Alligator mississippiensis: one gene and its partner. The protein of the gene in region 2 interacts with the protein of the main gene of each other region in a biochemical or structural test. Links are inferred from orthologs where the notes say so. Each region holds a gene or a part of one and is shown on either strand. Other genes may lie near its edges.

Region 1 (3,905 bases), on a different chromosome or scaffold from region 2:
ATTCAGAAGTAATGCCCGTGCCCTTTCGGTCAGGGGGAAAGACCAAATGACAGAGAAGAGGAGCGTGTTGTAGCTCGAAAGGATGTGGCCAGCCTTGAGTGCCTAGGTGCTCATCAGCCTGGAGTAGGTGCTGCCTTAGCTTGGGGACATAACACAGAGACAGCTTTTAAGTGGGTGCACTAAAGGCACAGAACATAGGAAAAGGGGTTCTCATGAAACACTTAAACATGGTTTTTGCCTTCATCCTTTTCAGGGAGCCAAACCTGAGCTCGAGGGACAACCTTTAGGGCGAGAGGAGACGGCAAACCCTCGAGAACTGAGAAGTCTTTCCCCGAGCTCTGAATTGCCTCGTGCTAACAAAGAAAGCCATTTATCATCTCTTCCTTCAAAGCCTTATTATCCTCCCCTTTCAAGTCCTTGCAGTGTCTGTTTGCACGATCAAACAATTTTAAGACCGTGTACAACTTCAGTCATATTCTTCATCAGCTGCAGCCTTTTTTTCTTTTTAAATGCCTGCCTTCGTTTCCTAACAGAGCCTTGCTTGCAAACACAGCTGACATTCAGACAATGCAGAAAAGCACAGGTATGTTTTGCACCTGGAGTGCAGCCAAGGCTAAGGGGTGCAGGTTACTTCCACGGCTCCCGTTGTGAGCGTTCGAGGGCTGAAAGGATCACTCGGGTGTTGCGTGGTCGCAGCAGGCCCCTCACTTTATGCCCCGTGGCAGCATGCCACGCGGCGTGGTGTTTCAGCAGGGAGCCTTAACACTTCCACTTCCCCAGATCCCACGCGGACGGTGGGTCGCTCCCTGCACGCCAGCTGTCAGCGCATCTTCTAACACGGCGAGGGACGGAAAATATCTCCTTTGCTGCCCTGGCTGTCACCACACAGCTCCGCAGCCCTTCGCGGACCTACCTATCCGGAAACGTCGGTGCAAATTCACCTCTTTATTATCGTGTGTCGTGTTTATAGCATTGGGGTTTATAAACAGAGGGTTTCGGTGCATCCAGCAACGAAGGCAAAGACGCATCCTCTCCCAGTCCCAATCGACACGAACGACGAAAGACGGAGAGCACGTTGGAGCAGAACGATCCCTACGATGGCGGCAAGCGTCACGCTGGGTTATTAAAAACCTGTGCCGCGCGGTGGGGAATCGTGGGCGTCCCGTGGGGGAAGCCAGGTCAGGCCTGCGAAGAGACAGGACGACCCCGCTTGACCGAGCAGCGCCGCTCGTGGCAAGGAGGGGTCCGCCACGACCCTACCACGTTAGTAGGGCGAGCGTGGCCCCCGCGACGGTGTCACCAGGCCCGGGGCATCGCTGTGTGGTGCCACGCGCCGCTCCGGGGAAGCCGGAGGCGCACGTGTCACCTCCGACTAGCACAGCACTACGGCTTTGAGTTTCTTTTTTTAACAGGAGAAAACAGGTGTGTTGCAGGGCGCCATCATCCGCCTCCACCTGTCCGTGTGTGGGCTGCCTCGCGCCAGGGCGGGCGGGCCCGCGCCTGGGCGCCCTTCTCCTCACAGCGCGGACCGCCGCGTCCTGTGGGGGCACCGGCCTGCCTCGCCTCGCGTCTCCTCACGGGGCGGCGCCTGGGCCTGTGGCTCCCCGTGTGGCCGCCGGCGCGGCGCGGTGCGGTGTGAGGGGGAAAGCGCGCGGCGCGGCGCGGCCCCTGCCCCTGCAAGGCGGTGTGTGGGTGCGGGGCGGCGGCGGCGGCAGGAGGGCGCAGGCCCGGCCCGCCCCCGGCTCCTCCCCGGCCGGGCGGGCGGGCGCGGCGCGCAGGAGCGGAGCGGAGCGGAGCGGGCGCGCGGAGGTGAGCGGCCGGGCCCGTTGGCGGCTCCCCCTGCCCCCCGGGCACCCCCGGGCCGGTGGGCCCCCCTGCGATACCGCGCGTCCAGGGGGGGTTGAGGGCAGGGGCCCGGCCTTGCCGCTGTGCCACCCGTTTCCCACCCCTCTTTTATTTGTTTTTATTGGGGTGGGTAGCCAGCCCTTCCCCTGCGCGCAGGGGCTGTGGCATTTCCTCGGGGCACGAGCTGTCCCCGACCTGAGCGTGGCGGGGGCACGCGCGGGCCGTGCTCGAAAGGCCGCTGCGGTGCGGGTGGTTTCTCGCAGGCTTGAAGGACCCCGTCTTGGTGCTAAAACCTCCGCCGGACCCTCGCACGGCTGCTCGTTTCTGGTGCTAAAACTTTTACAGGACCCTCGCACGGCGTCTGCAGTGGGGCAAAAAAAACTTCTGCCGGACCTGCAGCGTAGGCGTGTTTGGCCGTAAAACTACAGGACCCTCGCGCCGCGGCGTCGGCAGTGTAGACAGACCGCTTTGGTGTTAAACCTTGTGTTGGACCCACGTCTGGGACGTGGAAACCTTTTCCCGGTAGAGGGTTGAGCGTGCCGTCGTGGTCGTGGTCGCGGTCTTTCCATTTGTTGTCCGCGTTGCCGTAATGCCATGGATGGATATAAGTTTCCAGAATTGATGCCCTCCTTGCGGCAAACCTGATTCCCGTTGATACGTTTGGTGATAAACTTAGCGGGTGTTTTGTGTTTAGGAAGTTGAACCACAGCGTTTAGGGAGGATGTTTGATGCAGGTTTCGAGCTCGGTGGTGTTTCGGTGTTTGTTTCTTCGGGATGTTTGTAAACGAGGCATGGCAGTGTTGTGCTAGCGCAATCCCAAATTGAAAGGGACTAGCAGCAAAAGTGAAGAGGACTTGTCTGTCTCCCTTGTCTAAGTCACGTGCTGGAACGAACTGGAAATGGTATAAAATAAGACCAAATAGTACAGCGCTAAATAGTATAAATAGTTGTTTTGTTTTTTTTTTTGTTGCATCCGTAATCTCCATTAACGTGAGAAATACAGCAGTTTACATGCTAAAAAGCAGGCCCGGCTCCAGGCCACTAGAATAGCTTGACTTCTTGCTTGTGCTTTGATTGATTGATTCATTGATTTATTTATTTTCTCGTTGTTTGAACCAAAACCATAGTTTACAGTTTTGGCTTTGTGCCTAGTTGTTCAGAGTCCCAAAATGTGACACCAAATGTTCTGGGTCCTTAGCAGTTTTGTATAATTGAGCTCATTATGCTCGTTGAGGAAGGTCATGGTTGTGAGTTGCTCTGTCCATGATCTGTAAGGCTGCTAGTTTAAAAATGCTCTCCTTTATTAATGAAATAGTGCTTCTCAAGTCAGCGGTGGCAAGCTCCTCAGATGGGTGACCGTTATCTTTGGTTTAGGATCTCCTGAGATTGCTAGACAACAAGGGCCAAAGTCACCGAGAAGGGTGAACTTGTGTACGACAGCACCGCTATTAAACGGCGCAGACTTTTGAATAGTGAGTTTGAGCGAGAATACTTAGAAACGAGCTGTCGCAGCGTCTGCAACTTTTTAAATTGTCTAGCTATCGTGTGGTTTACTGTCTCTGAACTATGAAATCCTTTCTGATTATTCTGACATCACTGTCACGTTGCTATAGTGACTTTGTTATACTGGGAATGCTATGTTCGCATCCTGTTTTTGTGGAAAAGATCAGTGTTATAAATAAAAAAAAATATTTAAGAGTCCATTCATAGCCATGACGGCTAGTGGTGTCATTAAAATGATGGCGTTTCTGCTTTCAGAGGGACAATGTATTTTAACAAAACTTTTTTTGTACTGAGTTTTAGGTTAGGGAATTGTCATTTCAAGTTCCTCCCAGTTTGTTCCTTCATCCTCTCTACTGTGTTTGATAAGAGTTGTAAGCTAGCTGTAGAAACTAGCTGTAGAAACTAAAAAAGAAAAAAAAAGGGTATGTAACTTGAGGTGGAGTTAGTACAGGAAGTACTGTGCTTTCACATGCTGGTTCTAAAAATAATCTATTTTCATACACAGTATTTTCATCAAAGAGTGACGCATCAGGACAAGAGTGATCTTGGTTTCCCAT
Region 2 (3,905 bases):
GTCGAAACATCGTAACTCAGTACCGCTTTTTAACAATGTTATAAATGGGGGATTGGTTCCTGAACCAAGGCCCGAGACCCTATTTTCACCAAAAATAACCCAGAATTTTGTACTCAATCAATTATAGATGAGTAATATAGCTACATTAATGTTTTTATTTTGTAAATAGCAATCATACTGATTTGGAAGGACTTCTTTGAGGTGACTTTGCTGGACTTTTGGAAGGGCTCTTGGCTGGAGTCTTCTCAGGAGTCTGCATGGGTGACTGGTGCCTCCCAAGTCTTGAGGGGCACCAGATCACTGATGGCGGGGACCCCAGTGGTGACTGATTGCCAATCGGGGGGAGGGGTCCCCCAGTGGTGGCCATTCGCCAACCGAGGGGCTGGTCCCCCAGCAGTGGCCAATCGCCCAGCCAGCAGTGAAACCAGAAGTGCACTTCTGGTTTTGCAGCTGGTGCTTCCAGGGGGTGCATGACTGATTTGGGGGGAGCACATGTACCTGTATGCATCCCCTACGGGTTGCTAAAGGCTGCAGGTTTTGCTGGAGTTTTGTCTGCTTTTTTAAAGGAAGTGCCCAAAGATGTTTGGACAGATGTTCTCCAGGGAGATGGGCGACGCAGTGAACTTGTTCGCTGGGGTGGCATCGTGTCGCAAAGTTGAAACCAATGTCAGGAAGTCAAAACAGGGTGTCAATTTATGTTGTCCGTGCCATTCGTTGTAATGCGAAACCTTGTAAGTCGAGGCCTGCCTGCACTCGTGTTTGTTATTTGCACCTTGGCTTGTATTGCTGCTGGCTCTGTGTGGGACAAACCTTCCGCAGGTCAAATATGTGGGCCAGAAACCGGGACTAAGACCGGGCCTTTCTGAGGAAACTGGCTCCTGGACCAGGCTAACAAGGGACAACCCCTTCAAGCCCCAGCCTGCTCCCTACTCTCCCCCAGCGCCGACACCAGTGCCTCACGGCTCCAGCGCCACTTGGCGACCCAGGAGGACCTGGCAGGGGTCACCCCGGCGGGGGGCTGCCGAGGCCAGAGCGGCCCGGGTCACCGTTGGTGGAAGGGGGCACAAAGCGCCCGGGGACTGCGCAGCCACCTGCTCCCGCTCGCGGCGCCCGGAGCGCGGCGGGGGCAGCAGAGAGCCCGGCGGGGGCGGGGCCCGAGGCGGCCCGTCCCCGCTCCGCCCCGCCCCTCCCCCGCCGCCGCCGCCGCTGCCTCACCATGGTTGCAGCACAAAGCGACCAGCCCCGGAGGCCGCTTCCCCCGTGAGCGCCTGAGCCGCGGCCCGTCCTTGCCCCGGCCCCGGGCGGCAGCGCCGGGCTGCGGGATGCAGCAGCAGCAGCATCAGGGGAGCGGCCCGGGGAGCCGCCGCTGCCGCCCGCCTTCGCCCTCTGCCGGGCGGCGGCGCTGCTGAGCCCGCGGGGCCGCCGCTCCCCCCGCCCCGCGCTCGCCAGCTCGCCCGCCCGCCAGCGCCGGGCAGCCGCCTCCCTCAGGCCAGCGCAGCACGAGCCGCCGCCGCCGCGCCATGGCCTCCTACGTGGATAACAGCTTCCGCCAGGCGGTGATGAAGAACCCGGCCGAGAGGAGCGCCCAGGTACCTGCCCCGGCCTGCGCCTCCCCCGCGCGGGCGGGCACCGCTTTGTCGGCCGCCGTCTCGGGAAGGGACGTCCGGGGGGCCGGGGGTCACCCTGCCCGGGGCAGGGGCAGCTCTGTCCCGGCCGTGCCCTGCACCTCCCTGCGAGACTGTCCTCAGCCCCGGCCGCCTCTGCCCTCCGCTCTGGCACGGCATGGACCCGGCACCCTGCCCTCCGCTCTGGCATGGCACCCTCCCCGGCCAGCAGGGACCCGGCACCCTCCCCTCCCCTCAGCCCTGGCACGGCACGGACCCGACACCCACCCACCCACCCACCGCAGCCCACTGCCCACTGTCCTGCTTTTGTGAAACATTGTCACTTTACGCTCAAGAGCTCCCCTGAAATGGTGTCTTGTCCTGGGTCAAGGAGTGAGTGAGTGCCTGCATGTGGTTTGTCTAAAGGGACACCCTAGCATGGCAGGGCGGGCAGTCCAGTTTTGCTCTGGCACCCCGGGTAGCATTTCCATGCCACCATTGCTCAGTGCAAATAGTGAGGGTTTTGTTTTTTTTTTTTAATATCATAAGAAATCAAATCATAGACATTATGGGCTGGAAGGGACCTTGAAGGATCATGGAGTCTAGTCCCCCTTCTTTGACTAGGGGGTGTTATTTGTATATATATCCTTGCCAGGCAGAATTTGTGGATATTTAGTTGGCACCAAAACATTGCTTTGTGCCTCTCTTTCTCACCCTGGTCTCACAGGCCGGCGCCAGGGTGTCTAAGACTGCCCTGGAGCTGAGTTCAGGTTCCTTTCCTTCCTCTCCAGGCATCCCATTCAGAAATGGAATTTAACTTGGTGCCTCTACTTGTCTCTCTAAAACAGTTCCTATCCTGTGACTTTCTAGTGAAGTTAAGGGGTTTTTTGCTTCTTTTTTTTTTGGGGGGGGGCCAATCGCTGCCACCTGCGAAGTAGGGTGAAGTTCTTGCACACTTAAAAACACAAAGATCCTTTTTTTTTTTTTGTATTTTTAAATATGTGCATCAGGCTCATCTGGGGGAGTTTTGGTTGCGGGATAAGTAAAAGGTTCGTACAATTGTAGAAAATGAGGGTTGGAAGGGACTTCAGGAGATCGCACACAGTCCAACCCCTGCAGGACCACCTCAAAGCACAACTAGCAATGTGGTGGGGTGTGTGTGCGTGCGTGTGCAGGATTAAGAGCTGTTAGAGCGTTAGAAACAATGAACCTGGGAGGCTGGAGGGCGACAAAATGTCAAAATGTTTCTGTATTTCTATTTTGGTTTTTTTTGGGGGGGGGGGGGGAGGCTTGTTAAGTGATAAGAGCGTCTTATGCTCTGCAGAAGGGACTGGCTGGAGGGGCTGTTGCTGCCAACTGTTTAAAGACAAATACCCTTTATACGGATCCCCAGGTCAAGCTGCAGCTCAATAGCTAATGATTCAAGGAGTTGCTCTGCTCGTTACAGTTGTAGTAGTGCCATCTGTCCTAATTCTAAAGAGTCATCCCGTTTCTCTGACAACTCGGCATGGCCTGGTTTTAGCAAGAAGCTTTATTTTTCATTACCGTGGTTACTCCTGATTTTGGCAAGGTTCTGGTTGGCTGTTGACATTTCAAAATGGGGGCGAAGAAAACTTCAAAGTAAGTTGGATCTAGAAATCCTTCCTCCTACTTCAGTGAAGTTATTTTTGTAACGCTGTGTTTTATCCTCATCTCAGGGAATACATATGGCAAAGTGAAATTGCCTGTGGAAAAGTACAGAGACATATCCTTACATTTTGAAGTGGTACCCTAATTTTTTGTGGGGGGAGGGGGAGTAGGGAGCAGAGGGAAGTGAACTAATTTTCCCTCCACTCATTCTAGATCGTATTTTATTTCAGCTGTGTTAAAGTTGCTCCTGTGTCCTTGCCTGACCTTCCTTTTTGAATGTCAATTACTTGTTTCAGATGTTGGAGCCTCTGTGAAAGCCTTTGCTTCAGAGTCAGTTACTTATGCTTAAAATTAAAGAGAGACGGTGGCATTATCGGAGAAAGCTACTATTTGTAAACGCATAGTAAGAGCTCCCACACTTAGGGAAGCTTAAATTCCCGTAATGGGAGTCTGACGCTGTCAGATCTTGGAGAAGATTATCAAAAGGCTGTCAGTTGGTCAGCAGCGGGGAGACTGGCAGTTGCTCAGAAACCAGTCAATCAGGTCATGCGCCGTCAGACAAAGCTACGAGAGACAGGACTTCTACTGTGACAGCTGTAGATTCTGCCAGATGAAGCAAACTGTTAAACTTTCCTGCGTCCCTGCCAAATCTTAAAAAAAAAAAAAAAAAAA

The links.
Region 1: the proteins of RAPGEF2 (region 2) and RAP1A form a complex in vitro, tested with the Homo sapiens proteins (2 studies listed by BioGRID and IntAct, with this or other methods). The link is inferred for Alligator mississippiensis from reciprocal best matches to the Homo sapiens genes RAPGEF2 and RAP1A.

Annotation. Positions count from the first base shown.
Region 1 is NC_081837.1:43,910,497-43,914,401, forward strand, and holds the start of RAP1A (ras-related protein Rap-1A), read left to right. Parts: upstream 1-1,715; 5' UTR 1,716-1,809; intron 1,810-3,853; 5' UTR 3,854-3,905. UniProt on the Homo sapiens protein: Counteracts the mitogenic function of Ras, at least partly because it can interact with Ras GAPs and RAF in a competitive manner. Together with ITGB1BP1, regulates KRIT1 localization to microtubules and membranes.
Region 2 is NC_081825.1:91,064,824-91,068,728, reverse strand, and holds the start of RAPGEF2 (rap guanine nucleotide exchange factor 2), read left to right. Parts: upstream 1-1,207; 5' UTR 1,208-1,520; coding exon 1,521-1,589; intron 1,590-3,905. UniProt on the Homo sapiens protein: Functions as a guanine nucleotide exchange factor (GEF), which activates Rap and Ras family of small GTPases by exchanging bound GDP for free GTP in a cAMP-dependent manner.